6 linked regions of the Cricetulus griseus genome follow. The protein of the gene in region 1 interacts with the protein of each later gene in a pairwise test. Links are inferred from orthologs where the notes say so. Each region holds a gene or a part of one and is shown in the gene's direction. Other genes may lie near its edges. The genes, in order: Rbm17, Sf1, Dhx15, Qrich1, U2surp and Ppp1r12c.

Region 1 (5,318 bases):
AGTGAGCTCCAGGACAGCCTGCACTACACAGAGATACCCTGTCTCAAAAGAACAACCAAAGTATCATTATATACACTACACAAAGTCATAATCAAACTGTAAGTTTAGGCAAATTGTCACCTTAGCTAAGTTGTTTTCCTCTGAGCACTCAGCCCTTTGTTGGCCCCCTTCACACCAGCCTCCAGTTCCTGTCCATTTTTTATGCCAGAGCATTTGATCTACCCATCTCCCTTCTGGCCCCAAATGTCCCTTGGTCTTGCTTTCTTCTGCAGCATCTGACATGCTAATATTTTGTTTCAGATTAATTAATGTCCTATTTTTGATTAATGCTACCATTTACTTCCTGCTGTTCCCACCCGGGGCTGCTGAACACTGCTAGGAAAATTTACGGGACTTGTATGTGCTGGGGTGCTCTTGTACACTTGCTCTGCAGCTCACCTCTCTCAAACTGTCCCTTATTTAAAAAAAAAAAAAAAAAACAAAAAACAAAACAAACAAAAAAAAAACCTCTCATTTAAAAATCCTGTGTTTACCAAGCGGTGGTGGTGCATGTCTTTAATCTCCAGCATTCAGGAGGCAGAGGCAGGCTGATCTCTGTGAGTTCAAGGCCAACCTGGTCTACAAAGTAAATTCCAGGACAGCCAGGGCTACACAGAGAAACACCAAAACAAAGCAAGCAAGCAAACAAAGTCAAAACAGACAAACAAAACAGATGGAAGCCTATATAGTCATTTGATTTTAAAATCTTAATTTAAATTATTTTATTTTATTTTATGAGTATAGGTGTTTGGTCTGCATGCCACCTGTGTGCCTATTGCTCCAATCCCAGGATTCCATGGGACTGGAGTTACAGATGGTGGTGAGCTGTACTGGCTAGTGAACCAAGGTCCCCTGGAAGAACAGCCAGAGCTCATAACTTCTCTCTTTCTCCAGCCCCACAAAAACAAAATCTCACCCATCCTGGCGGGTGGGGGGGGGGTTGGGGAGAAGAGAAAGGTAGAGCAGGGAGGGAGAGAGGAAGAAAACACTAATTCCTCTTTCCTATTTATTATTTCCTGTGGTGTTTGCTGTAAATAATGAGGTTATGCTATTTAGTGCATAGATTCCCCCCCCCCCTTTTTTTTCTTCATTAACAACCGTGCTTTAGCCGGGTGGTGGTGGCTTACGCCTTTAATCTCAGCACTTGGGAGGCAGAGGCAGGCGGATCTCTGTGAGTTCGAGACCAGCCTGGTCTACAAGAGCTAGTTCCAGGACAGCCTCCAAAGCCACAGAGAAACCCTGTCTGGAAAAACCAAAAAAAAAAAAAAAAAAAAAAAAAAAAAAACCTGTGCTTTAAAATTTTCATTTAAAACTTTTGTCTAGAAATCAACATGCATACGGTGTTGTTATCTGATTTCCTTATAATTATCAGCCATAAAGTGGTACATCTTTTCCAATTACGAAACTTCAGGATCTATTTGAGCAGTTTCTTGTATATCAGATTTTAGCTGACTATAATGTTTGTATGTCCATTTGTGCTGAGGTCCATCTAATCCTCCACAGTTTCATCAGTATCAAATAATTTTCACACCCAACTAAAGATGTGGGAAACACGCTTACACAAAGCCCGGGTTTCTCGGACCTTCCTTTTGTCTTTCACTTCATTTTTTTTTTAAAGAGCGTTTACATTCTTCTCTGAAGCCCTAATCTCAGAGTGTTTTACAGTGCCATTCTGCAGCATATCGCCTACGGAGATTCATTCCCAGATTTTAGTATATAAAGGAAAGGTTGGGAATGAATAACTAGAGCCTAATAGGAGATTCTCAACCCTCTTACTCTAAAGTCACGAACCGCACGGAATTTCAAAACCGTGCCCCAATAGCGACATCTCATGGTGAAATTAGAGGCGGGCAGAGGGTAGGTGCAGTGTAGTCCTCCCGTCGGCAGGGTGCAGTGCGAGCCGGGCAGTGCCGCTTTGCTTCCTCGAGTCAGGCGCAGGCGCAGACGTGTGCTCCCGGCAGCCTCCGCTCTCTCACCCCGCGCGGTGGGATCACCCTGCGGAATCGGCCGAGGGTGGGCACCGCGGCGGGCTCCGGCGGTCGGCGGGCTTCCGCTCAGGGCGGCTGGGCTCCGCGCTGCCGCCGCCGTGGCCCATGGGCAGAATCGTCTCAGAAGGCCGGGTGAGTAGCGCCGTGGCGTCCTGGCCAGGCGGTCTGATCCGGAACGGAGACTTGTGTGAGCGCGCCTCCACGGATGAGCTGGACGCGAGGCCGCGGCTCTAGGCCGCGCCGTGAGGGGCACGGGGATGCGGGCGCGACACCCCGAGCTGCCTAGGGGTTCCTAGCCCTCCGCTGCGGACCCCTTCTGCCTGCCGTGCTCGGCCAGACAACCCACATCTCCTCCATCTGTCTTGATCGCCTTGACACTAAGAACGTACCTTCTCTTCATGCCCTGTGTCCGGGACCCAAGTTGTTGGGTCGCTAGACCCCAGTAACCCGGAGTGCGTCCGGCCTCAGGAGTGGAGGGGCAACCCTTCCCCCCAACTTGTTTCCTTCCACAGCCCCAGAAATAAGGGTTGAAGACGGTGTCTCACCTAGACTGGTAAAGGCAGTTGTAAATCCGGCATCCTCAGCTCTGTATTAAGGGGAGTTTTAGCGTTCGTGTCCATCCCCTAGTTTTTGAGCTTAATTTGCTTGGGCTAGGTGTGCTGTGAATGGGTGCTACAAGTTCAGTGACCTACTTCTCCAAGAGTTACAGCTCTTAAGAAACAGGCTTGAAAACCCAGGCCTGGGTTGATTTTTAAGAACTGGAGTACAATCTGAAAAGACCTGGAAGAGGAGCTGATGTTTATTGACTTTTAGAGGGGTTTTATTAGAAGTGCAGGAGTGGAAAGGCAGCAACAGCGAAAACACCGTATTCTGCAGCTTAAGGCAGTTAAGAATGATTCAGAGGGCTGAGCACCCTTTGTTAAGTCAGGAAGGGTGCACCGTTGACATTAAATTCTCCTTGGTAAGGATACATGAGGATGGCAAGTATGATTTCCTAAGATTCTGCTTGTGATCAGAACGATGAGGACTGTCTCCCTGCGACAGGTGGCTCTTTTGAATCATGCCATACGGAACACACATACTGGGATGAGCTGTAAGCATTTCGGGATAACGATTTATACTTAAATATGAATAATCTAGCCCGGGGCGATGGCACATGCCTCGAATTCCAGTACTTGGGAGGTGAGGGCAGGAAGTTCAGGGGTTCAAGGACAAGCCACCTGTAGAAATCAGAGGACAACCTACAGGAATCCCTTTTCTCCTTCTACCATGTGGGTCCTTATTGACCCCTTATTTGTTACTACATTTCACACATCCCTCCAGCAGGGAACAATTTACTTCAGTAGTAATTCTACGAGTCTTTGAGAACAGTAGTGAAGCCTGCTGTCCTGTGTGCTTATGTTACCAATGTCTCCAGTTAGTTTTTGATAGGCTCTGGCCTATGGTATTTTGGTAATTTTGATGGGAAATTTAAATTGTCAAAGATGGCGTAGTTGCAGACAGAGGGGACTAAATAATTTTGTAAAAAGTTATCCTTAAGTCCTGTATAAGATATGATTGTGTCCTACAAGAGCTAGTTCCTGAACAGCCTCCAAAGTCACAGAGAAACCCTGTCAAAAAACCAAAAACCAAAAAAAAAAAGTGATTGTGTCTCATGTTGCCAGGGGGTAGGCTTGGGATGGTTATCAATTTGACTGCCTCTGGAGTTAACTGAAACCCAAATGGCTGGGCACACCCAGCTAAAGGGACTTTCTTTTCCCTTAATAAAGTAATTTGAAGTGGAAAGATCCACTTCTAATCTGGATCTTTGAGGTGGGGAGACACACCTTTAATCCAGGTCTTTTGAGGTAGGAAGATCTACTTTAATCTGCTGGCAGCCTCTATGTGGAAAAAAGAAGTTGCCCTGCCTGTTGGCCCTTGCTTTCATTAGCAAGTGTATTCCTTCACTGACATTAGAGCCTACAATGTATACTGAAGACCAGCGAAGACATTCAGCTTTGTGGACAACTACTGAACTCTGAATTCTTGAACCTTCGGTTTGTAGGCAGCCATTGTTGGATTAGCTAGATCACACCTATAAGCTATTCTATCATTCTATGTCTGTTATATAAATTCATGTATGTGAATATATTCATTCTGTAAGTTCTGTTCCTCTAGAGTCTAGAGAACCCCAACAAATACAATAAAGTAGGCTGACCAAAGGGTACATTGCCATAAAAAATGAACCGGGAAATGGCTTAGTAAATTGCTTTTGGGTAAACATGGGGCCCTAAATTGAGATCCCCAACACCCATGTAAAAATTTCTCCACAGGAGTACATGCCTATGATCCCAGCTCTGAGGAAGCCAAGACATGAGGTCCCCAGGGGCATACTAGGTAGCTTGTCTTGCCGTGTCAGTGAGTTTCCAGTTTGATAAGAGACCCTGTCTCAGAAAAATAAGGTAGATGGAAAGTGACTGTGGAAGACTCTCAGTGTCCATCTCTGTTCTCCGAATGAATATGTATACATGCATCACACACACACACACACACACACACACACACACACAGTAACCGAGCACAGTGGTGAAGGGTTGTAATCTCAGATGCTCATAGTTTGTGTGCATTTGACACACATGAATTCACTTAACACATTTTACATCATAAAGGCCAATTTCTGTTTGTATTTACATTTGAGTCTTGATTCTTATAGTATTATGTCTAAATATTAGAAAATGCTGCTTTTTATTAGCTAGTATCAGACTTCATGAACTGAATGTGTTATGTAAGTGATACCAAACCATTTTAAGTTTGGATCTTGACAGTCTCCTTAATGTATTTGTTAACTTCACTCAGTGTTTTGCTGTGTTTGTAGGGAGATTAAATGGCTAACCTGTGGTATATTCATAAATGCTTAAAATAGCCAAAATGTAAATATACATGCCTTAAAAGGTTCTTTGCAGGCAAATTATTTAAGATAAAAATCAATGGAGTGATAGAACAGCATTCAGGGAAAATCACAGGAATGGCTTGAGGAGCCTAATGATTTCCTGACCAGGTGCTGCCTTCTGTTTTAGTTGGTGAATTCACAGGAGCTTGTATTAGTCGTAATTGAAGTAATCAGTATTTATGCAAGCATTCTTTTACCATGATAGTCCAGTTCTGTAAACATAAAGGTCATTGGAAACCAGAAAGTCAAAAGAATATTCTTCATATCTACTGAGATGTAAAGATGTAATTTCATGAACTGTTACAGAAAACTATCAAATGCTCGAGAGATGACAATGGTTTCTAATACTTAAAGCATTTTTT
Region 2 (5,142 bases), about 180 Mb from region 1:
GCTTTGGAGCCTATCCTGGCACTTGCTCTGGAGACCAGGCTGGCCTCGAACTCACAGTGATCCACCTGTCACTGCCTTCTGAGTGCTGGGATTAAAGGCGTGTGCCACCAATGCCTGGCCCAGTTTTAGTTTTTAAAATTTTTGATGTGTATGGGTGTTTTGCCTGCATGTTATGTTTGTGCACCACCTGTGAGCAAGCAGTGCCTGAGGTGTTCAGAAGAGGGAGTCTCGATCCCTTGAACAGGAGAGACATGTTTGTTAGTTGATATGTGGATATCAGGTCCTCTAGAAGAGTAGCCAGCGTTCTTTACTGAGCCATCTCTCTAGCCATTCCTCTACTTAGTCTTGAAGGCTTCTGTGGGTATTACAGACATTTGGTTTTTCTTCTATTTTTGCAGTTCTAGAGGTAGAATCAAGGAAGTTGCATGTGATATGCAAAAGCTCTACCACTGATGTGTATTCTCAGGCCAGACATTTGCTCCTTCTCTGTTGCATGGCAATTTCCTCCCTAATCTGCCACGACCTGTTGACTTGTACCACACAGCATACTTGAGTTTCTTGTCTTGAGTTTCTTGTCTTGAGTTTCTTGTCTAGATTCCTAGATTACCCCACATCTTCTAAATTGTCTACGTGTTTTCAGATTTTTTCTACATCATTTTTAAAATTTTGTCTAATGTACATGGGTATTTTGTCTGCATGTAAGTCTGTGTACCACATGCATGCAGTCCCTGTGGGGCCAGAAGAGGGCTTTGGATCCCCTGGGGCTGAAGTTACAGGTGGTTGTGAACTGTCATGTGGGTGCTGGGAATTGAACCCAGTTCTTTGGAAGAGCAGCCAGTGTTCTTAACTGCTGAGCCATCTCTCCAGCCCTTCTACATCATTTATTAAACATCTTTCTCTCTACTGGGTTGAAGTAATCAGCTTTGTGATTATCCTATTCCCAATTATATTCTGTTGTGTTACTGGGTTTTCCTGCAAAAAAGTTGTTTCATTGCTCTTATGTTTACTTTATGAGAAGGCATTTCCATGGTCATATACTTTTAAGGTAACTTAGTCAAATTCCCAACACACTGATTACGATGGAAAAAACTTTTGAATTGTTTCTAAGAATGACTGTGAGCTCCTGATTTTTCTTTGCAAGAGCTAAGATTGCAGGCATATGGCACTAAGCCTGTTTTTTTTTTTTTTTTTTTTTGGCACAGATATACTCTATCCCAGGATAGGCCCCAAATCATGGCAGCTCTCCTGTCTCAACCTCTCAAATACTCAGGTGGCCACCTTGTCTTTCATCTGAGGTTATATGGTTTGTTCTATCACTTTAGGTATTAATTTCTTAGAGATCCGCCTGCCTCTGTCAACAGAGTGCTGGGATAAAAGGCGTGCACCACCAACGCCCGGCACTCGCGGTGGCAGAGGCAGGACAGCCAAGGCTACGCAGAGAAACGTCTCGAAAAACAAAACAAACAAAAATAACAAAAGGACCCAAACCAAAAATTAAGCCACAAACAAAAAACTACCCTATTCCGTAACTTTATTTTTCTAAAGAAAACAGGAAGTTCTCTACCTGCGTCGCCGACGTATCCGGTTCATTCACTCGAGCCCGCCCATTGCCCGCGGCGGTTCCTGGTTACCTCAGGCACAATGACTAACGTCACTTACAGCTTCCGCTCCCGCCCCGCTGGTGGAGGGACAGAGGCCGCCGGGCCTCACCACGCATGCGTACCTCCTGCTCCCCGCCTCCCCCGATCTTCCTTCGGGCTTCTCCTCCGGGCTTTCTCGATTCCCGAGCAACTCGTCCCCGGGGAGCGGAGTCGTTTCAGCCAATCCCGAGGCATTACGACGCCGAGGAGCGGGACTCCATCAACTCCAGCCAATGAGCTAGCCGTTCGCTCTACGTCATAGACTTTGCCCCACCTTAATCTCCGCCCCTCCGGCCTGGGCGCTCAGTCCGCGCAGTAACAAATGAGGTGCGCGCTGCGACACCTCCCAGCTCACCCGGCCCCGCCGCCATTTCGTCGCCTGGCCTAACGGTTCGGCCAATCCCGACACGTATCGAAAAGGACTAGCGCTCCACCAATCGGAGGCCGCTGCCTCCGACCTCACCTTGGGCCGGCCCAATCCAGGCCCCGGTCCCGCCGCCCTCAGACCGCCCCCGCGGCATCCTCTCTCCTCCCTCTTTGTGCGTCTGGCGCCGCCGCCGCCCGCCGCGTGAGAGGACTGGCTCCCCGCGCTCCTCGGCAGCGTAGTCGGGTCCCCTCCCCCCCCGGAAGGTTCGCGAAGGAGAAGCCGCCGCCGAGGACGAGGAACCGCTGGTGCCGGTCCCCTGGGGCGCCATGGCGACCGGAGCGAACGCCACGCCGCTGGGTAAGCTGGGCCTTTCAGGCCTTCCCCCCGCTTTCTGGGCCCAAAGGCGGCTTCGAGCCGGGCCCGCTGGCGCCTGGGCCGCTGCCACCGGTGGGATCGCTGGGGGCCCTGACGGCGGCCTTCTTGGTGGCGTCGCCGCCGCCCCCGGCCTGGAACCCTCCACTGCGGCCGCCCCCGCGCCGCCGCTCTTCCAGCGAGGGTCGCCTCCGTGCCAGGACCAGCAGCCGGGCCCGTCCGGCGGCGGCGGCGGCGGCGGTGGTGGCGGTGAGTCGGGCCGATAGAGCGCGAGGAGCGCCGCGCGGACCGGACCGGAGCGGCCGGCCGGCCGGCGGAGGGGCACGCGACCGAGGTTTCACGCGGCAAGGACGCGAGCGCGAGCGCGTGCACGGGAGGCCCGGGCGGACGCGCCCCAGGGTACGCGCGGCCTGGTTTGGGAAGCTCCGAGTGCGCATGCGCCCTCTGAGAGGAAGACGGGCGGGAGGAAGCGTCCATTGCGCAGACGCAATGAGGCGTTCAGGCTTTGTGGCGCAATTCTGAGGGCTTGAAGAGGCCACCTGTTGCCCCTTGAGCTGGTGTATACAGGAGAGTGTAAGAAAGTCCACGTAACGATGTGGTGTGAGGGGTCCCCCTTACGGTTTTAGGAACCTGAAAGGGAGACCAGTCCCGTGTCAAGAGTGTCTCTTTTTTTTTGCAATAAGGCCAGTTTGGAAGACTTGTGGTGATGCTTGGGTTCGATTTTTCTTTTTAAGGCTGTTTATCTCTTTTTGTTTTCTAGAAGGTTTTGAGTGACCATCTTTCCCCGTGCTGATTTAAAAGACTTTTCCCCTGGCCTGTAATCCTGAGAAGTAGAAAACCTTGTGTGGTAAATGTAGGGAAGAATTGGATACATCAGAGTTCTGATGACAGGTGTCCACTGGTCAGAAAAACTGAATGCTGGTCTTGCCGTGTGAGCATGGTCTTACTGAAGGATGGGACGTTTCACTTAGTGATATGTAGGAAGAGCTTTGGGTGTTGTTTTCCTTTGGAGCTAATCTGCTGCTTTGTAGATCTGATTGTCCAACTTTACTGCCGTTTAGAGCTTCCAGAATTGATGTACATCTCCTTAGAACTATTAAGAATTGGAAGCAAGGGTGCAGTGGCTCATACCTTTAATCCCAGCAGAGACAGGGAGACAGACAGAATAGGTGTGCTTCAGTAGTGTAGAGCCTTTGCCTAGCATTTGCACGACCTGGGTGTTCCCAGCACCACAAGAGAAAATTTGTTCCTTGTATTTACATTCTCTAGCAAGTTTTCCCAGGAAAAAAGAATATAAATGTGAAGTGTTCATTAACTTCTCTGACAGGACCAGATACCTTTATGTCTGCTTGTATTCCTCTCTGACCTCTGAAGCTCCTTTCTTTTTAAATTTTAGGTGGATTTCTGTTTTAGTCTTAATTGTCATGAACTGCCTGTTGGTAGTCACTCTCATGGTTCGTGTTTCCTCCTGATGGGCTCTGTCTGTCTTTAGACTTCCCAAGTAAGAAGAGGAAGAGGAGCCGGTGGAACCAAGACACAATGGAACAAAAGACAGTGATTCCAGGCATGCCCACGGTTATCCCCCCTGGACTGACTCGGGAACAAGAAAGAGCTTATATAGGTAAATACACGTTCTGCATCCAGGTGCATCTTCAAATTGTGACTGCTTATTCTGAGGACAAATCTATTGAAAGTCTGAGGTTTTAGTTTTGGGACAAGGTGTGATCAGGTGTGCTTTTTATAGCTTTGGTGTAAACTGTGATTTGCATGGCCAGTCCTGGATTTGTAACTTGTTTGGGCCTGCTCTCAGCAGCACATAGGCCTTACTAAGCAGCCCACTTCTCAGCTGCTCTTGCTCATTGATGAGGTGCATGCTTATCTGCCTCTCTGGACAGGCCCCAGTGGAGAACACTGCAGGTATTTGTAAACCAGGTGCCTTTTTTGTAACATGGCCTTTCATCATAATGTCATGGTTCCCTTTCCCTAAAATGTGGTTTTGCTTTTTTTTATAGGTTACAAAACAGTTCAAACAAAAAGTGGCTCTGAAAGTATTTACAGCTCACCCATTTTTACTGTTTTGTTGAATTTAATCCTTCCCTTCAGCATCTTGTTTGGTCTTTAGAGAGCTGTCTTAAAAATAAAAGCTCTTAGCCCGTTGGTGGTACACGCCTTTAAGCCCAGCACTCAGCAGGCAGAGACAGGAGGGTCTCTGTGAGTTCAAGGCCAGCCTGATCTACTGAGCAAGTTCCAGGACAGGCTCCAAAACTACAGAGAAACCCTGTCTCAAAAATAAATAAATAAATAAATAAATAAATAATGAAGGCTCTTGTAAAACCACGAAAAAACTCTACTGGGAAGGGTTTATTGTTTGATTTGAAATGAGGTGGTGGCAGGATTTTAAAAATTTAAGTTGAATTGAAATTAAACCTCAAAATTACTTAGAAACCAAGGTCATTCATACAAATTATATATGTCTGTCCAGCTGTCTTAAAAAGTACACTTGATAAACATTTTCAACTAACCAAATAAACATCCTCTTTGGGCAGAAACCTAGTGGGTCCATGAAGCTGTGACCTTCACAAACATAGCTTCAGGGCCAATGTGGTCTAAATCTGGAGGGTCTTCATTTCCTGGTTTTTAGATTGCTGAGAATTTTAAGGCGTTGGAATTGTCTTCTTGTCACAGTACTACTAATACTACTTTTTCTCACTGTTGCTGTTTACTCTTATCCAACTCTTAGGTGTCATTAGACCAGTGTTGGAC
Region 3 (4,576 bases), on another chromosome or scaffold:
ATTCATAAATGTGAACTGTAATACCAGTGAGCTCTTAGGATTTGTGTGGATGTATGCTATGATTTTTTTCACTCATAACCACACTGTTAGCCTTCCCATTGGTTGCATAGGTGCAGCTCCTGTCTTGCTCAATAATGTTAAGTAACTTCACAGGGTTTTGTTATTTTGTAGATGAAAAACATTAGCATCTGTGTGTATATGTATATATTAACACGTGCCTAGAAGTTCTGAAAGTGAGATTGTCAGAAAAAGCAGTGTTTATATAAAATACTCTGATGTAGATGACTAGTTTACATCTTTATTGGCAATATACTTGTGCCTGTTACTATTCCATGTACAATTTAAACTGAGCCATCAGCAGTAACCAGTATTCGTTGGTACAGTTCAGATAGGCCAGAGAACATTATCCCAGTATTAGCTTATTTAATGTTATTAGTTCTGTATCAATAGACAAAACTTGCATGTGAGCAAGGAAACACTGACTGTTCTTGATAAATGTCATAGTGTTGACTAAAGAACTATTTAGAGCTTGCTTTGTCTTTCTTCTGAGACAATGTTTCTCTACATCGCTCTGGTTATCCTAGAAACTCAACTGTGTAGACCAGAGATCAGCCTGCTGCCTCTGTCTCCCAAGTTTTGTGGTTAAAGATGTGTACTTCCACACCAGTATTGTTTTTATTTTCTTTAAAATTAAAAGTGTTATGCTTAACTAGCAAATTCTTATGAGAAAAACTTTTTGTAAGTGCCCTTTTTAAACAAGAAGCTGCATATGGACAAGTCTACCTATGCTTGGAGAGGGACTTAAAAACTTACCTTTGTCATTCAGAGTAGCTAGTGTGAACTGCAAAACTAGACCATTGAAGTAGTTTTCTGCATCCCAAATGTTTTCTTCATCACTTTGCTGAGTTTTAGGCCTTTTCTGTGGTTTTTCAACTGGTTGCCTTGCCCCTCTTTTTTGGGGGTGATGTTAAATTCTCACTTTATTCGTCATCGAATCCTTGTGTTTTGTATTCTATTTCTTTCTCTGATATAGTAATGAAGCTGTAGGTGAAATGTGTCCTGGAAAAGGTGTGTGTTAGTGTAGGTGTTAATTTTTCACATAACATTATGTGGATTGCTTTGTGTAGTATCTCTTCACCCAGGTTTGTAGTTTTGGAAAGGTTAGGTTTGTATCTTAACTGATTCCATACTCTTAAATATGGAAGATGCTTGTTCAGTTTCTTTTTGTACTTTATAACAAAATGATAGCTACAAATGTAAACCCTTTTTTAAACTTTTCTGTGTGTGTATATGTGCATGCGTGTGCTCATGCCTGCCCCTGTTGAATACATTGCCCAGTTAGTTGAGACACTGCTGATTGTGAAGCTGTTTTTTTTTTTTTTTTTTTTTTTTTTTTTTTTTCCTGAAGCTGACCGTTTTTTTTTTTTTTCAGCTAGGCTGGCCTGCAAACTCTGAAGATCCACCCTCACCAATGCTGGGTTACAGGCACCACAAGGCCATGCCTAATTTAACAGATTTGAACTCAGGTTTTCTTGCTTTCACAGCAAGTGCTTTTACCCACCAAATCACTAGGCCTGCAAAGGTATCCAGTCCTTGAGCTGTTTGAGTCTTTCTTTGCTTTATAAACTTACATTTTTGATTTGATATCAATGCCCAGTTAAAGAGCACTTAAATGAGAAGCAAAAGTAGCAATGAATGTGATATATTTCAAAGATAAGGCTCAAATTTGAAATTTTAAGACTTATATCCCTTCCTCTCTCCCTCCTTTGGGGGACTGTCTCTAGGCAGGTTCATCTGTGTAACAGTCCTAGCTGTCTAGGAATTCTCTTTGTAGGTCAGGCTGGCCTTGAACTCAGAACTTCCTCTGCCTTCAAGTGCTTGGATTAAAGGCGTGTACCACTATGGCCTGGTTGTTGTTGTTTTGTATTTCTTTTTTGTTTGTTTGTTTGTTTTTGTTTTTCAAGACAGGATTTCTCTGTGTAGCTTTGGAGCTTATCCTGGCACTCAACTCTGGAGACCAGGCTGGCCTCGAACTCAACAGAGATCTGCCTGCCTCCCAAGTGCTGGGATTAAAGGCGTGCGCCACCAATGCCCAGCTGTTTTGTAGTTCTTAAGTAATCTTTTACCTATATAGTTTTGATTTCTTTGGGTTTTGGGTGGCATGTGAGGATTTATTTCAGCTTTATGTTGTATTTTTCATAAATCTGTAGTGGGTAGTTAGGATGGGAGAAGTCACATTCTAATAGGGCTTTTCTTCCCTGCAAGTTTGTATGGAATAGAGTCCCATATTTTATGAACAGAATCAGATACAATTATCAACTTACCAGTGCTGTGGCTGAACGATTCTCATTCTGTGCTGTTTAGTAAGCATTTTAGTTGTATTCTGCTTAAGGTTTTTACTGTTTCTCCTCTAAAAGACTGTGGAGAGTGAATGCGCTTTCCTGCTGTACTGTACAGATACTTGTGTCACAGGAAATGAACTTTATGTGTTGTAAGTAAAGAGCAATGACAGATTTAGGGGTTTGTTTCTGTTGTCTCCACATTGCCTCATTGTTTTAGTCCAGGTCAGAAAACCTCTTGGCATTTTGTGATATATATATGAGTTGAATTTACTCCATTAGGATTATCTGTTGTAGATACCAGAAATGACTAAAATTATCCTTAGTTCAGTAGAAATTACTTAATTTTTACAACAGTTCTGTAGTCTGTGAACTTTGTTTTTAATTTGACTACATTTCATTTTGATTCATCAAGGTGTGTATAGATTTATAGTGAACGATCCACCTGCCTCTGCCTCCTGAGTGCCTGACTTGGTTTTTTTTTTTTTTTTTTTTAAGTTTTATTATATTACATCTTGTGTTGAGAGCTGAGAAGAGTTGGTCCTCTCCTATCACCATGTGGGTTCTGGGTATTGAATTCAGACTGTCAGGCTTAGGCTCAAACCTTTATCTGCTGAGCCATTTTGATGGTCTTCCTATCAGTTATTAAGGTTTTAGAAGGATGGAACTAGAGACCTTGTCTAGTAAAGAATTTTCTTGGTGGTGCATGAAAAATCCGATCATTTCTAATAATTCGTTGAGATGTTATACACATAATCACTCTGATTTTTAAATTTTTATATTTCCAGGAAAGACCGGGATAGAGACCGGGATAGAGAAGACCGATCTAAAGATCGTGACCGAGAACGCGATAGAGGAGATAGAGAACGGGAGAGGGAGAAAGAAAAGGAAAAAGAATTGAGAGCTTCCACCAACGCTATGCTTATCAGTGCTGGATTGCCTCCTCTAAAAGCTTCTCATTCAGCTCACTCAACCCACTCGGCTCATTCAACACATTCTACACATTCTGCCCATTCAACACACACTGGGCACGCAGGACACACATCACTTCCACAGTGCATTAATCCGTTTACTAACCTGCCCCATACGCCTCGATATTATGATATTCTAAAGAAACGGCTTCAGCTCCCTGTTTGGGAATACAAGGATAGGTTTACAGATATTCTTGTTAGACATCAGTCATTTGTACTGGTTGGTGAGACTGGGTCTGGTAAGACAACACAGGTGAGTTGTTAAATACTATGGTAAATATGTTATGCTAGTGTTTAAATTTAACTAAATGTGCTGGTTTGGTCATGATAGTCATTTTCTATTTCTCTGTTCATTTGCAATTGTATGTCGTGTAGAATATCCTGAAGAAGAGTTCTTTGGCGAACGCTTTTTAGTGACTTAGGGTGTTATTTTAGTAAAGAGGGTTGATTTCTTAGTCTATACAGGAAAATAACTGCTATCTTCTCATCTTGTTATTCTGAGTATAGCAGGAAAACTCTGGGACAGTAGAAATTAGGAGTACAAACTTTGTTTTCTAGTGCTTGAGTGGAGAGATCTGAAACATTGGGGTTGTTTTCTTTGTTAAAATATTTGAAATATAGCTGGGCATTGGTGGCGCATGCCTTTAATCCCAGCACTCGGGAGGCAGAGGCAGGTGGATCTCTGTCAGTTAGAGACCAGCCTGCGCTACAAGAGCTAGTTCCCAGGAAAACCTCCAAAGCCACAAAGAAACCCTGTCTCAAAAAACCAAAAAAAAAAAAAAAAAAAAAAAGAAAGAAAGAAAGAAAGAAAAGTGTCAAAAATTGAAGTTTCCAGTAATGCTAGCTCATACCTTTTGATTCCAGCATTTAGGAATCAGATAGACAGGTCTCTGAATTCAAGGCCACCCTTGTCTACATGATATCCCATCTTACAGAAAGAAAAAGATTAGAAATGCTACAAAGGTGCAAAGTCTCTAGTTGTGACCTGTAGCCACTTGCCTTCCCAGCCCCATATAGTACTAAACAAGGTTACAGATGTCTCATTAGTTGCCTGTAGTTTTTAAACTGAAGAAGCCATGACTTACTAGACCCTGTTGATAGATAATGTAGCCTGTTTTTGTTTTTTGTATTTTATTGCATCTATTCATATGTATATGTTGGGGTATGGGTGCGCCCAGGCCCTAGCACATGGGTGGTAATCAGGCTAACTTGGGCGAGTCCTCTTCATGACAACAGGTATTTAGGATTGAACTCAAGTTGTCAGGC
Region 4 (4,576 bases), on another chromosome or scaffold:
ACTGAGTTCAAGGGCAGCCTAGTCTACCAAGTGAGTTCCAGGACAGGCTCTAAAACAATACAGAGAAACTCTGTCTCAAAATAAATAAATAAAATAAAATAAAAATAAAAAACATGCCCCTGGCTCTTTGTTCTTGCTAGATGGTATACATAACTAACTCTGTACGATACCTAGTAGTGGAAATAAAACATTAATAGGGCCAAGTGGCCAGCTTAAGTTACATAGTGAGACCCTGTCTCAAAAAGCAAAGAAAGACATGTCAATAAGTATCTGCTCCTTACTCCCCTCCCCTTGTTTGGTAGTCTTTTTTGTGATGATAAGAGAAGCAGAGTCTCACTCTGTAGACCTGACTGGCCTGTAATTTCCTATGTAGACTACATTGGTCTGGCTCCCAAGTTCTGAGACTAAGAAAGGTATGTGCCACCAGGCATGGCAGTGAGTGACTTTGCTTGCCACATGACTGTCCTAATTCTTGTTGTAGAAGGGATGTGATTGGCCTGGTACTGGATGGAAAATGTCATTTCAGCCTGTTCTGTCTAGTACTTAAAGAATGTGTTTTGAGTTTTGTTTTAGTGTGATAGTTTGGTTTAAGAAATGTGGAAGGGAGCTGAAGAGATGGCTCAGTGGTTAAGAGCACTGGCTGTTCTTCCAGAGATCCTGAGTTCAATTTCTAGCACCTACATGGTGGCTCACAGCCATCTGTAATGAGATCTGGCCTGCAGGGATACATGCAGGCAGAACACTATATACATAAAACATAAATAAAACTTAAGGGAAAAGAAAAGAAATGCTGAAGAAAGGCATATTACACTGGCTTATACTTGTAATCCCAGCACAGTGGTTAAGAGCACTGGCTGTTCTTCCAGAGATCCTGAGTTCAATTTCTAGCACCTACATGGTGGCTCACAGCCATCTGTAATGAGATCTGGCCTGCAGGGATACATGCAGGCAGAACACTATATACATAAAACATAAATAAAACTTAAGGGAAAAGAAAAGAAATGCTGAAGAAAGGCATATTACACTGGCTTATACTTGTAATCCCAGCACTCAGAAAGCTGGAGGAGGAAGACTACCTTAAATTCAAAACCAGCCCAGCTACATAGAATTGTAGATGTGTCTATACATTATCTTGTATGTATACTACTGATAATAATGAGAAATCTAAACATTAAAAACAATACCGCCAGGCGTTGGTGGCACATGGCTTTAATCCCAGCACTCGGGAGGCAGAGGCAGGTGGATCTCTGTGAGTTCGAGACCAGCCTGGTCTACAAGAGCTAGTTCCAAGACAGCCTCCAAAGCAATACAGAGAAACCCTGTCTCGAAAAACCAAAAATAAAAAAATAAAATAAAAACAAAAATACCTCACAGAGGCCAGGCATAGCACTCTCAAGGCAGATGTAGGTGAATCTCTCTGTGGGTTTAAGGCCAACCAAAACCAAAGGTTCATGGTGAGATCTTACCTTTTTTTTTTTTTGAGTTTTCAAGACAGGGTTTCTCTGTAGCTTTTTAGACCAGGCTAATTTTTTGTTTTGTTTTTTGAGACAGGGTTTCTCTGTAACAGCCCTAGCTGTCCTGGAATTAGCTCTGTAGAGCAGGTTGTCCTCGGACTCACAGAGATCCACCTGCTTCTGCTTCCCAAGTGCTAGAACTAAAGGCGTTTGCCTCCACTGCCTGGTATAAGATCCTATCTTGTAAACAAACAAAAAACCCTACAGTTTATTTTGGGGGTAGGGAAAGATGGTATAATAAAACATTTATTTGGAATATACACACATTCCATTTTCACTGTCATTGTGTCTGTGCATTTCAAGACACATAAACAGTGGGGTTTGCCTGGCATTGGTGACACATGCTTTTAAGCCCAGAACTCGGGAGGCAGAGACAGGCGGAACTCTGTGGTTTCAAGGTCAATCTGGTATTCAAAGAGTTCCAGGACAATCTCTAAACCTTCAGAGAAACTCTTGTCTGGAAAAAACAAAAAACAGTAGAATGGTTGGTAAGATGGCTCAACAGATAAAGCCATCTATTGCAAACCCGATGACCTGAGTTTGATCCCTGAGATCCACATGGTGGAGAGAACCAACTCCAGTGGGTTATCCTCTGACCTCTACACGCATGCCTTGGCATGTGCATGCTCCCCTCCCAATAAATCAATGTTAAAAAAAAATCAGCAATGTTAACAATAGCAAAATGTTGACTGTCCATTTTAATTCTAGGAACCCTAAGGACTCTGCAATATGAATAATTCTCTGGAGAACACCATCTCGTTTGAAGAGTACATCCGAGTGAAGGCGAGGTCTGTCCCGCAACACAGGATGAAGGAATTTCTGGACTCACTGGCTTCTAAGGGACCAGAAGCTCTTCAGGAGTTCCAGCAGACTGCTACCACCACCATGGTGTACCAACAGGGTGGGAACTGCATTTACACAGACAGTACTGAAGTAGCTGGGTCTTTGCTTGAACTTGCTTGTCCAGTCACAACCAGTGTTCAGCCACAAACTCAGCAAGAGCAGCAGATCCAGGTTCAGCAGCCACAACAGGTTCAGGTAAGAGAAAATATTTAGTTGAAGCCTGTTAGTAAACTTTTCTCTCACAGGTTTTGGTAATTACAATATACCTATACAGATATTAGAAATGTTGGAAGTTATTTAACCAAATGGGGAATTCTCCCCCCTCCCCCCAGGGTTTCTCTTTGTAGCTTTGGAGGCTGTCCTGGAACTAGCTCTGTAGACAGGCTGGCCTCAAACTCACAGAGATCCGCCTGCTTCTGCCTCCCAAGTGCTGAAATTAAAGGTGTGTACCACTGCCCAATGGGGAGAATCATTCATATTTAATGTGGATTGATGATATCTTTGGTCACAGTAAACTATAAAAACTGCACAGTAAACTAAAAACTGTAGGTACTTGCTGTTTGCTTTAGAGAGCACAAACTACAGAAAGTAGAGGCTAGCAATGAATTTGGATGTGACAACTTCTGTGATTGGGTCTTTCTTTCTTTCTGTGGACAGTCTGAGCAAAAAGCACAGAAAAGCTAGTTTTGGCTCATTGTGGAAAGTGGCATTTGGAACTTGCTTTAAAATTAAAACTGATATGGTGATCTTAATTTAGCTTATACATCTCAAATAACCTATAGATTTCTAGGTTGGCATTTTTTAAATATTTATTTATTATGTATACAATATTCTGCTTCCACTAGAAGAGGGCACCAGATCAGATGGTTGTGAGCCACCATGTGGTTGCTGGGAATTGAACTCAGGACCTATGGAAGAGCAGTCAGTGCTCTTAACCTCTGAGCCATCTCTCCAGCCCCTAGGTTGGCATTTTCTACCTGTTAGCCTCAGATAATGCTAACATTAAGCTTACTCAGAATGGAGGAATGAGCTGGGCGTTGGTGGCGCACGCCTTTAGTCCCAGCACTTGTAGGCAGAGGCAGGTGGATCTCTGTGAGTTTGAGACCAGCCTGGTCTACAAGAGCTAGTTCCAGGACAGGCTCCAAAGCCACAGAGAAACCCTGTCTCAAAAAAAAAAAAAAAAAAAAAAAAAAAAAAAAAAAAAAAAACAGAATGGAGGAATGAATACAATGGCTGATGAGACAAAGTTTTTCTTTTTGGGGATCTCTAGATGAAACAGTAGTCTCCTCCGAGTAGTTTTCTTGGCATTGTATTGTGGCAGGGTTTCATTTTACTTGGGATGCATGAGTGTGAGGGTGTCAGATCTCCTGGAACTGGAATTATAGACGGTTGTGAGCCCCCATGTGGTGCTGGGAGTTGAACTTGTGTCCCCTGGAAGAATAGTCAGTGCTCTTAACTGCCTAACCATCTCTTCAGCTCCACCCCCCCCCTTTTTTTTTTTCTTTCACTTTTTAATTTTAGAGAAACTAAGTTTCCTGAGGAAGCCAAGCTGGATGGGTCTGCTTACTTCAGGTTCCTGAGTAGCTAGCATTACAGATCTGAGACAAAATACAGCTTTAGGGACTGGGTACCTACTACTTCCGGATGTGTGCCATGTGTTTATGCACTCCTCTCCCCCACATCATATACTCAGGATAATAATTTTATTTATTTTTTTGTTGTTTTTTGAGACAGTGTTTCTCCGTGTAACAATCCAACTGTCCTGGCACTCGCTCTGTAGACCAGGCTGGCTTTGAACTCAGAGATCTGCCTGCCTCTACCTCCCAAGTGCTGGGTGCACACCACCACACATGACGATAATAATATTTTTTAATTTAAATAACTTTTCACTTATTTTACATACCGACCACAATTTCCCCTCCCGTCCTCACCACCCAGTCACCCCCCCATAATTTTTTTAAAATTAATATTGTATATAAATACTTGAAGACATATGTTTTGTTTTTGTTTTGTTTTGTTTTTGTTTTTCCGAGACAGGGTTTCTCTGTGGCTTTGGAGACTATCCTGGAACTAGCTCTTTAGACAGGCTGGCTTCAAACTTACTGAGATTCGACTGCTTCTGCCTCCCTGAGTGTTGGGATTAAAAGGCGTGCACCACCACCACCCGCTTTGAAGATATAATTTTATTTAGTTTTGTTTATGAATGACATCAGATTCAA
Region 5 (4,576 bases), on another chromosome or scaffold:
AAGTACTGCTCTTGGGATGGTAGTAAAAGGTGGAATACTTACTGCATCAAGGAGTGGTGGGCTTAGGTACAATGTAAGAATGTGCAGAGCACCAGCACTAGGACCCTTATGGTGATTGTGGAAATACCCAGGACTTCCATTGGAATTGCTATTTTATCTGGTACCTTGGCCATCATTGCAGTGATAGTAACAATATCAAACAAGAAAAAGGTATGCCCAGGAGCCTACAGGTACAGAATGGGTGGCAGGAAACTGCCTAGTAAAGTGACTGTATAGCTAGCTGGGCTAGCCTATGGAATCCTATACCATTCTCTGTTGTGTACCATTGGAGTTTTCTCTAATAGATCATAGTTAGGGTTGATGTTATTGTTGCTCTGTGGTGTTAAATCAGAATGTTTAAAATAGATTAATTGTAATTATAGTTTCTATAAAATGTATAGTCAGTCAAGAAATAATTTTTTTCATTCAGGAAAGTGTATACTGCACATCGTTAAGAGAAGTTGGTCTCCTTTGTATCTCTTTAGATTTGTATTCTGTGATGTATTTGGGAAAAAGATAAATTACATTATTTAAAATGGTACTAGTTGTCTGTACCCTTTTGAGTGTTTTTGGTGATGATATCAGGTTAGTAGTGTTTATGGAAGTTTACATGTTGAAATGCTCTGTGCATCTCAGTGGCAACAAACTAAAAACTAGGTCAGTTACTATTTTAGCCCCCTATATTCCATGAGTGTTAATTGGAGACAAGATTCTGTTTCTGCCAGGCCCATGCTGAAGGTCAAGCTATGCCTCTTCACCTAAGTGTTGTCTATGTGGTTTTTTTTTTTTTTTTTTTTGCTGCATAAATACAGTTGAGTAGTTGTTAAAAGGACTGTATATAACCCGCAAGTGTGTTTGGTCTGGCTCTGTAAAAAGTTTGCCTGTGTCTAGTTATAAGATTTTCTTACTTTTTAAAAATGAGAAGCAGCAGTTAGATAACGTTTTTGATGCATGCCAATCATAAATATCTTTAGCCACTACTTTATTCTACCATCAATAGAAATTAATTTTTTTTAAAGTTTTATTATATATAGAGAGTTCTGCATGCATGCCTGGAGGAGGGCATCAGATCTCATTATGGATGGTTATGAGCCACCATATGGTTGCTGGGAATTGAGATCAGAACCTCTGGAAGAGCAGCCAGTGCTCTTAAGCACTGAACTATCTCTCCAGCCCCCTAGAAATTAGACTTTTATTGAAAAATATTCGTTAGGACAACTAGGGATAAATAAGCAGTTATTTTTCTGGTTTATATAAATATGTTACTATATAATCAGTTTGTAAGTTAGGATTACATTTCCTTTTATAATTACTTTGGTGAGAACTCCATTTAGTGAACCTGCTATATACAGGCAGAATTGCTTTTATAACTAGGTTCTTGCAATCTGATGAAGGTCAGTGTGTTGCTTGCTAGCTTTTCCTGATTCATTTCTTCCTTCCTTCCCTCCCCTCCCCTCCTCATTTTGATGTGGTAGAGATGAAGGGATAGGAGCTCTTAGACTGAATTCCTGATTTTCTCTGGTAAACCATGGTCATTTCTGAGTCTGGTTTTCTTGTCTAGATTGAGAGTGATAATAATGTAAAAGATCACAGGATGATATGGTATATGGAAAATTGTAACTGTCTTGTTTGGGCTGTGATTAGCAGCCCTCAGTAAATACTTTGCTGCTGCACAAGAAGGGTGATGATGATTTTGTATATAAAAAATGGCTTATTGCCTGAAAGGGTATTTTTGAAAATGATATCTTACCTTAATTACTATTTTAAAAATTTCTAAATGAGAAAATATGATTAGATACATAAGATAGTCTAGATGACATTTTTAAGAAACAACTCAATATTTTTTTTAAAAAATAAAACAGGAAAAGGAGAAAGAATTAGAAAGAGAACGTGAAAGAGACAAAAAAGATAAAGAAAAATTGGAATCTCGATCCAAAGACAAGAAGGAGAAAGATGAATGTACTCCAACAAGAAAAGAAAGGTATGGCGTGTCATAGTTAATCTGCTTTGTTTCAAGATTTGAAGTGCTGTTTGGTTTTAAACTATTTCTGTCATCAGTAGCAACAAACCAGAAGTGGATTTCACGATAAACATGTTTGGCTTCTGCCTCTAGGAAGCAGAGTTAGCTGATAGGCTCGGTTAGTTGCCACTTGGCCTAACTAATTAGGACATCATGTCTTTACTTGGGTTCATATGGTATTCTTAGCCTTAATTCACTGCAGGAATTCAATTACCCTATCGAGTATCAACCCTATGTCTTAAATAACAACTTGCTATATCTGCCTGTCGACTCTACTCTAAGCATCCTTTTTCCGTCTTGAAGGAGATTGTGTGTACAAGCTACAGTGACTTGCTAATCATGTTAAGTCCTTTGTTCCAACTTTTTAAGTTTCATATTTTTAATGTTTTAGTTAGTGTGTGAATGTTATTTTGTGTGAGGGTATGTATGTACCTGCCATTGTGCTCTTGTGGAGGTCAGAAGGCAACTGTGAGAGTTGGTTCTATCTTTCTGCTATGTAGATTCCAAAGGATAAAGTCAGGTTAAGTGTTCTTACTTGCTGAGCCACCTCACTGGACTGTGTTTCTTACTTTTATAGTTTTTAAATGTCTAATGTAGTGAAGCAGTTACTTCAGTGAACAGAATCGAAGTTTTCCACATTATAAACACCAAGTGGTTGCAAATGAGAAACCTGGCTTAATCACTCTGTATATTTATAAATAGCAAAATTATACAGATTGGTTAACAAAGAAATGGCACTTTTTTGTCTTTTATTATTTTGATATAATTTCAGTTTTATAGAAGTTGTAAATAATCCCCATGTACTTTTCATCCAATTGCTCCACCTCCTAAAGTGCTTCTACTTTTCTTTTTAGTTCTTCCCTTTCTACTTCACCTCCAACTTGTTAACTATAATTGGTCAGTATAGAGCCCAGTTTCCTGAGTCATGTAATTTCACTAAAAGTGCCACACTAAGAAGTTAGCAGAGGCAGGCGGATCTCTGTGAATTCGAGGCCAGCCTGGTCTCCTGAGCAAGTTCCAGGACAGCCTCCAAAGCTACAGAGAAACCCTGTCTGGAAAAACCAAAAGGAAAAAAAATAAAAAGAAGTTAGCATTGAAAAAATAAACCTCCATTGTAACCCAATTCAGAATGTCAGGTTTTCTTTGTCTTCCTAGTAATCTCTTAACAGCAAAAGAAAATTGAATTTCATTGAATTCACTTATTTTTTTGGGCATGCTGTCTTAAGATTTACTTGATGAAATAAGGGACATCGAATGTCATTGGGAAGTAGCATTAGTATGAATAGTGAGAGTTAAGTTAGTGTAAGCTAGGAGTGATTAGGAGCAAATTGAGTAGACATTAAAAATGAATACTTAAGTGTTTTTTTTTTTTTTTGTCACTTACAGAGTTTTATGTGGTTTGTTTTGTAGGAAAAGGCGACACAGTACTTCTCCCAGCCCATCTCGGAGTAGCAGTGGTAGGCGAGTGAAATCCCCATCACCAAAATCAGAACGGTCAGAACGGTCAGAAAGATCTCATAAAGAAAGCTCACGGTCCAGGTCATCTCACAAAGATTCTCCTAGAGATGCTAGCAAGAAAGCCAAAAGGTAAATGCAAGTCACCCTTTTGTTATCGTCACCAGTTAACTAAGAGTTCTACAAGCTTTGGAAATAATGTGGTTGGCTTTTTTTTTTTTTTAAAGATTTCAGAAAAACAGAGAAATGTACTTTTATTTTGGGTTATCTCTCATTCCCATTCCAGTTTTTGTCATGTTTCAAGTATAGAATAATTCCAGCAAGTTAAAGACTGGCCAAGGATTTTCACATGTCCACTGTTGGGAATGGGGTGCTCCTTTTTCATTCTAGTCTTTATTTCTGTATAATAAATAGCCTTAGATTTTGTCAAAGTTGATGAAAAGGAATAATCTACCCCACAGAAGTAAGTGTGTGGGTAAGGAAATAGAATACTATTTGGATCAGCTCTTCAGTATGCACTTTGATATTTTGTTTTATTTAAGCCTTTTAATTCCACAAAAGTGGAATTAAATAAATGTATTTGATGTCACAGAGGGAAATTTTCTTGAGCTGCACCTGAATTTATGTGCTAATACTTCGTGATTGTAACCATTTGCTGTGAAGTCTTTCTCCTGTTTAAGACCATACATACTCATATGTGTGTGGAGGTGTATATGTATGTGTATTTTTTTTGTTTGGGAAACTTTCATGAACAGAACTTAGCAAAATTACTGGCGCCAGATGGGGTGCAGATGACATTAATCCTGCTACCTGGGAGGCAGAGGCCAGCTAGGCCTACAAAAAACAAAAAATTGTGTTGTTTTAAATGATGACCTGGAGTAGGAGTTTTTTCCCCCTCAAAATTACAGAGTGTACAGCTTTTGTGCTTTTAAAATTGTGTGAATGTCTTAATTGTCACCTTGAACTTTATCTTGTGGATTACAATTTCAAATTTTGGGGGTATCAGTTACCTGGGGAACTTAATAAAAATGCACATTCTCTATAAAGCAATAGTAAAACTCA
Region 6 (5,283 bases), on another chromosome or scaffold:
CAGGACAGGCTCCAAAGCTACACAGAGAAACCCTGTCTCGAAAAACAAAACAAAACAAAATTAATTGCCTCTTGCATTTAAACTGGTTGTACAAGGTCATTAATTCTTCTAAGGATGTTTTAAAATAACACACCCAGAGGCCAGGTGTGTGTAGAGGCATGAGAAATGGGACAGGAGAAGGCTACTCAAAAAAAAAAAAAAAAAAAAAAAACCCAACCAGACCAAAACTGTCTAATAACAGTCTTACCTCTGTGTGTTGGTGTAGCCTTATTTTGTGGATCATTTTATAAACATCTATTTAGTGTGTGTGTTGATAGGGTGTGTGTGTGGAAATCCATGGTGGAAATCAGAAGACAGTTTTTGGAGTCAGCGATCTCCTTCCTTCTGGACCCCAGGGGTTGAAATATCTGATTTCTTGCCTTGGGGAAGAATGGTGTGTGTGTGTGTGTGTGTGTGTGTGTGTGTGTGTGTGTGTGTGTGTGATCTCACATCTTAAAAACCACAGGGTTATCCTTTTGGATTTATGGTCGTTATTCCCTAGACTCTGCCAGGGTCTGTAATTTATCTTTCATTCACAAATCCAAGGGTCACAGTTAGGCTGCCCTAACGACCCTTAAGCAGACGTGTGTTTTCTCTCTATAAACTTGACAGCTTTCTGTTTTACTTTGGTGTGTGTGTGTGAGTCTGTGTTCCTGTCTCAAAGTGTTTCTGTCCTTCTCAAATTGCATTTTTTGGGGGTGGGGGTGGGGGAAGATTCTTGAAAGATCAAGGTGTTCTTTTATCTGTTGGGTCTACTAACAAAACTTCCAAACCTATCGGAGCATCACATTTTGTGCTACCGATCCCAGAATTCCAGGAGAGCATTGATGCAGCCGGGAGAGCATCTCCTAGCGTCCCCCGCAGCCCCGAGTGGGCTAAGGAGAAGTGTGTGGTTCTTTGGGGACCCTTCTTCCCGGGTGCTCAAGGGATTACCGCTGGAGACCGGAGGCTTGTCTTCATCTGGAAACTGACTTTCCGGGGTACCTTGGCATCTCAGGCAGTTTTGGAAGTCTGGGGGCTGAACTCTTTAGGAGGCGTGGCCCTGGGACTACATTTCCCAGCTTGCCCCATGCTACCCGATACCCTTGGATTTTGCACGGGAACCTTAGTTACCCAGAGGAGTTTGGCGGCGATTGGTGTTTAATCTGGTTTCAGGACTCAGTTTCCCGTGGGCCTCTGGTCTCCCCGACGTCTTGGGGGGCCCATTCATTCATGCACTCATGCATTCATTCATTCATTCACAAATCCTTGTCCTTCTTCATCGGGTGTTGATGGGGAGGGAGGGGCAGATTACAAAACCAAAACAAGCCGGACCTGGTGGCGCCCCCTTCATACCAGGCAGAAGTGTGGGGGGAGGAGTCTCTATGAGTTCGAGGCCAGCCTGGTCTACGTAGCGAGTTTCAGGCCAGGCAGGGCTACATAGTGAGACGCTGTCTCAAAACAAAAACAAAAAAACAAAATACCCCCGCCCCCAAGAAAAAACCCAACCCAAACCAAACCAACAAAACCCAAACAAACGTCTGCAACCCCAGCAATTAGGAGACGGAGGCAGGAAGGTCGGGAGTTTAAAACAGACAATCGCAGTCACACAGCGAGCTCGAGGGCAAACCCATCTCACAGCAAAAACACAACTGAAAGTACGCGAGTCTTATTTCTGCGTCTCTCGGGTTCCGCTACACGCCATCATTTCCCACGCGCCATCCTTTGCGCCGCTTTACCAAAAAAAACTACACCTCCCAGCATCCCCCCGGGCATCCCGTCCCGCCTCTAAACTCAGATTCCCAGCATTCCCGGGGGGGGGGGCGTGTCCTGCTTTAGGCAATTGGTGCTACCCTGGCACTGCCTCTGTAGCCCAGGCTGACCTCGAACTCGAGAGAGCAGTTTGCCTCTAAGGTGCTGGGGGCTGTAGGCGCGCCTGCTGGCGGCTTCCGTGCCACCCCGACCGTTCCCTCAGCAGTTAGCGAGTCTGCTGAAAAAACCCTGCGGGCTTCTCAACGGAGGACTCCATTTCCCAGAGGGCTGTGGGGCAGCGTCGTGACGTCAACGCCCGTCCGTGGGGGGGAGGGGTGGGGCCCAGCCTGAGCCTCGGGGCGGTGCTTGTGGCGGGGCGGCGGCGGCGGCGGTTCCCGGCGGCCCCCGGGGCTGGCGGGCGGGCGGGCGAGCGAGCGAGCGGGCGGGTGGCGGCTGTTCGTCGCCGGCCGGCCTTCGGGCGGGCGCTCGCTCAGCTCGCTCGCTCGCTCGCTCGGTGGGTGAGCGGGCGAGCGGCCCGGTGTGGGGCGCGATGTCGGGCGAGGACGGCCCCGGGGCGTCGTCGTCGTCGTCGTCGTCGTCGTCTTCGGCGGCGGCGGCAGCCCGCGAGCGGCGGCAGGAGCAGCTGCGGCGGTGGGGGGCGCGGGCGGGGGCTGAGCCGGGCCCCGGGGAGCGTCGTGCTCGCACCGTGCGCTTCGAGCGCGCCGCCGAGTTCCTGGCGGCCTGTGCGGGCGGCGATCTGGATGAGGCTCGCCTGATGCTTCGCGCAGCTGACCCCGGGGATCCCGGGGACCCCGGGGGCCCCGATCCCGGCGCCAGCGGGGAATCGGACGCCGGCGTCCCGCCGCCTGCCCGAGCGGTGCTCGACTCCACCAACGCCGACGGCATCAGCGCCCTGCACCAGGTCAGCGGCCCCCGGGCATCCTCCCTCCCCGGGGCCCCCCGAGCCACCCCTCCTCCCTCCCCGCCTCCTGCCCTGCAGGGGCCGCCTCGCCCCTGTCATCCGCGCTGTCACCGCTCTCCCCGGCGGCGTCTTCCGCACACGGATGGCTTACACCCCGAGCCTTTCCAGGCTGGTGGCTGCCCTGGCTGTGCCGCAGGCTTCCAGGGCCCAGCTCGGACTTGACACCCCCCCCCCCACTCCCTCCTCCGAGGCTAGCCAGGCCCAGGCCCTTCAGTGTCACTTCTTTGGGGGGTCCACCTTGTTCCCTACCCCACTTCCTGTGACCCGTGCTGTCCGCTGTGGCCTCAGGAGGGTCCTTTGCCCCTCCAAGGCAGTGTACCCCTTTGTTCCCCTGGAGAAGAGGCGCTCCACCGTCTGTTGGGCCCCATCCCATAACCTTCCTCCCCTCCCCATGTCCTATTAATTCAATTCTCGGCTCATCCCCTTTTGGTGATCTTGCCACCCACCCCCACCCCCCATAGGTTTCTCCTCATCTCTCTCTCTCTCTCTCTCTCTCTCTCTCTCTCTCTCTCTCTGTCTCTCTTTCTCTGTGTCCACATTGATTTGCCTTTCTGGAAACTTCTAAGCATTCGGTCTTCCAAGCCCTATTTCTCGCTCCTCTGGTTTTGTTTTTGTTGTTGTTTTTTGTTTTTTCCCCTGTGTAGCCCAGGCCAACCTCAAATACAGGTCCTGTGTCTCTGACCCCCTCATTTGTGGGATTACAGGCATGCCCACTCCACCTACCACCCCATGGACTATATTTGGGCAGCATCCTGCTTTAAAAACTATGCCCTGTCTCTTAGATTTCCACCCTGTCACCTTCTAGAACCTACCCCACCAGGACCCTGGGCGACTCAGACACTGTGATTATCTTTTTCCAGTGATCTGTGCCCCGAGAGTGAGGACCATCTTGTATTGCCGGGATCCTTCTGGATTCGGGATGCTTTTATCTCCCCGTCATCCAAAAGCTGGCATCGTCAGGGACAAGATTAGTCACAGCAGAGCCCCCATCCCCGTTCTTCCTCCTCCTGGCCACAGTGTTGGTTCACTTTCAGTCTTTCATGGCAACTTCCATCTCCTGGGTTGCCCTCCTCTTGCTAGGATTCTCGTGGAGGTGGGGAATAAAGGTTCAGTGTTTCACTCATCCAGGCAGAGGAAAAACAGAATCCGTCTGTCCTGGGCTGGGCTGTCTTTTAGACAGAGTGCTTGCCTAAGTGCAGGAAGCCTCAGGTTCCAACCCCAATACCACAGAAATCAGGTGCTTGGAAAGTAGAGGCAGGAGGGTTGGAATTCAGTGTCACCTTCATCTACACAGTGACTTTGAGGCCATCTTGATAGCCCACATGAAACTCAGTTGCAAAATCTTGACCAAACAAAAAAAGTCCGTGCTGACTTTTTGTGTCAGTCTGCTTCTTGTGTCTTGTATCTTGAGTGTCTTTTCTCGGTGCGCCTTAGTTTTTTTACCTGTAGAATGGGACCAGTGGTCACCCCTGTCCCCAGAGGGACTCTATGGTGAGAGGTGTCCTGTGGAAAACTTCCTTTATGGGACCTGCATGAGCTGTGTGGGACATCGTCCTCTATATATAGCAGGGTCCTGTTTTCCCGAGGCCACACTCAGGGTGTCAGCGTCTGATCACCAAAGTCCCTGGCCCTCCCAAGCGTTCCCTCCCAACTGCATCCCCTTCCTCTGCATCTGCTGGAGGTCCCTAGAGCATCCTCTCTGACAGGAACCTGTGACCTCAGGCCTGACGTGTCAGCCTTCCAGGTGGGACTCTCCTCCCGCCATGCAGACACCTTGGTGACCTGACTCTTCAGGCCTTTGCAGGAGGCTTGGGAGACTGGAGATCAGATTCAGTGAGATCATTTGGCTTTCAGGGCCAGAACGCAGAGGGGGCTGGGGTTTGGAGTGGTGCGTACGTAGCATCACCTCCTAGTACCACTGCCCTGGCTTCAGCAGTGAAAACTCCTGGAACTAGTTTCAGTCCCAGGAAAGCAGGGGCATTCATTCACCCAGTCTGTGGTGATTTCTACACCTCAGACTTTTTAGTGTTTCCGGTTCTAGACCCTCCTTGAGGCATCAGCCTCCTGCAATGACATTTCCTAAGCCCCAGCCTCTGCCTTAGCACGGCAGGGACATTCCTTCCTCTTTCCCTTGTCCAGTAATTGCCTTGTCCAATAATGGCTATGAGTTGGGTCTGGAGTAGGTAGGGCTGGGAGTTAAGAGTCCTAGGTTTGAGCAGGGGAGAGATGGGGAGCCCTAGCACCTGGGCCTGAGGGAGGAGGGCCAAGTCTGGATCCCTGGGTCTAAGGAAAGAGGATTGGCTAGAGTTCTACATCTGAGGGAGGAGGATTCTTGGGTCCCCAGTGCCCAGCCTCAGGCATCTTTCACATGGATGCCCGTACCCGGCCAGGTCCTTGAAAGGGAAAGGCCCATCTGCCTCCTTGCCCCCCCTCCCATCACCATGACAACAGGGTGGAAATAAACTGAGCCCAGAGTGAAGCCCAGAGTTCATCCCGTTCCCAGGGCACGTGCCCCCCCCCCCAGCCTAAAT

Evidence for each region.
Region 2: the proteins of Rbm17 (region 1) and Sf1 interact in binary tests that used the Homo sapiens proteins (3 or more experiments, as listed by UniProt). The link is inferred for Cricetulus griseus from reciprocal best matches to the Homo sapiens genes RBM17 and SF1.
Region 3: the proteins of Rbm17 (region 1) and Dhx15 interact in binary tests that used the Homo sapiens proteins (3 or more experiments, as listed by UniProt). The link is inferred for Cricetulus griseus from reciprocal best matches to the Homo sapiens genes RBM17 and DHX15.
Region 4: the proteins of Rbm17 (region 1) and Qrich1 interact in binary tests that used the Homo sapiens proteins (3 or more experiments, as listed by UniProt). The two-hybrid records come from large-scale screens. The link is inferred for Cricetulus griseus from reciprocal best matches to the Homo sapiens genes RBM17 and QRICH1.
Region 5: the proteins of Rbm17 (region 1) and U2surp interact in binary tests that used the Homo sapiens proteins (3 or more experiments, as listed by UniProt). The link is inferred for Cricetulus griseus from reciprocal best matches to the Homo sapiens genes RBM17 and U2SURP.
Region 6: the proteins of Rbm17 (region 1) and Ppp1r12c interact in binary tests that used the Homo sapiens proteins (3 or more experiments, as listed by UniProt). The two-hybrid records come from large-scale screens. The link is inferred for Cricetulus griseus from reciprocal best matches to the Homo sapiens genes RBM17 and PPP1R12C.

Annotation. Positions count from the first base shown.
Region 1 is NC_048596.1:228,375,463-228,380,780, reverse strand, and holds the start of Rbm17 (splicing factor 45), read left to right. Parts: upstream 1-1,993; 5' UTR 1,994-2,159; intron 2,160-5,318. UniProt on the Homo sapiens protein: Splice factor that binds to the single-stranded 3'AG at the exon/intron border and promotes its utilization in the second catalytic step. Involved in the regulation of alternative splicing and the utilization of cryptic splice sites.
Region 2 is NC_048596.1:52,991,017-52,996,158, reverse strand, and holds the start of Sf1 (splicing factor 1), read left to right. Parts: upstream 1-2,013; 5' UTR 2,014-2,333; coding exon 2,334-2,364; intron 2,365-3,866; exon of another isoform or gene 3,867-3,871; coding exon 3,872-4,000; intron 4,001-5,142. UniProt on the Homo sapiens protein: Necessary for the ATP-dependent first step of spliceosome assembly. Binds to the intron branch point sequence (BPS) 5'-UACUAAC-3' of the pre-mRNA. May act as transcription repressor.
Region 3 is NW_023276807.1:120,435,393-120,439,968, reverse strand, and holds part of Dhx15 (pre-mRNA-splicing factor ATP-dependent RNA helicase DHX15), read left to right. Parts: intron 1-3,127; coding exon 3,128-3,563; intron 3,564-4,576.
Region 4 is NC_048597.1:216,711,220-216,715,795, forward strand, and holds part of Qrich1 (glutamine-rich protein 1), read left to right. Parts: intron 1-2,222; 5' UTR 2,223-2,243; coding exon 2,244-2,552; intron 2,553-4,576. UniProt on the Homo sapiens protein: Transcriptional regulator that acts as a mediator of the integrated stress response (ISR) through transcriptional control of protein homeostasis under conditions of ER stress.
Region 5 is NC_048597.1:204,089,896-204,094,471, reverse strand, and holds part of U2surp (U2 snRNP-associated SURP motif-containing protein), read left to right. Parts: intron 1-1,901; coding exon 1,902-2,020; intron 2,021-3,469; coding exon 3,470-3,646; intron 3,647-4,576.
Region 6 is NC_048602.1:23,185,773-23,191,055, reverse strand, and holds the start of Ppp1r12c (protein phosphatase 1 regulatory subunit 12C), read left to right. Parts: upstream 1-2,232; 5' UTR 2,233-2,320; coding exon 2,321-2,692; intron 2,693-5,283. UniProt on the Homo sapiens protein: Regulates myosin phosphatase activity.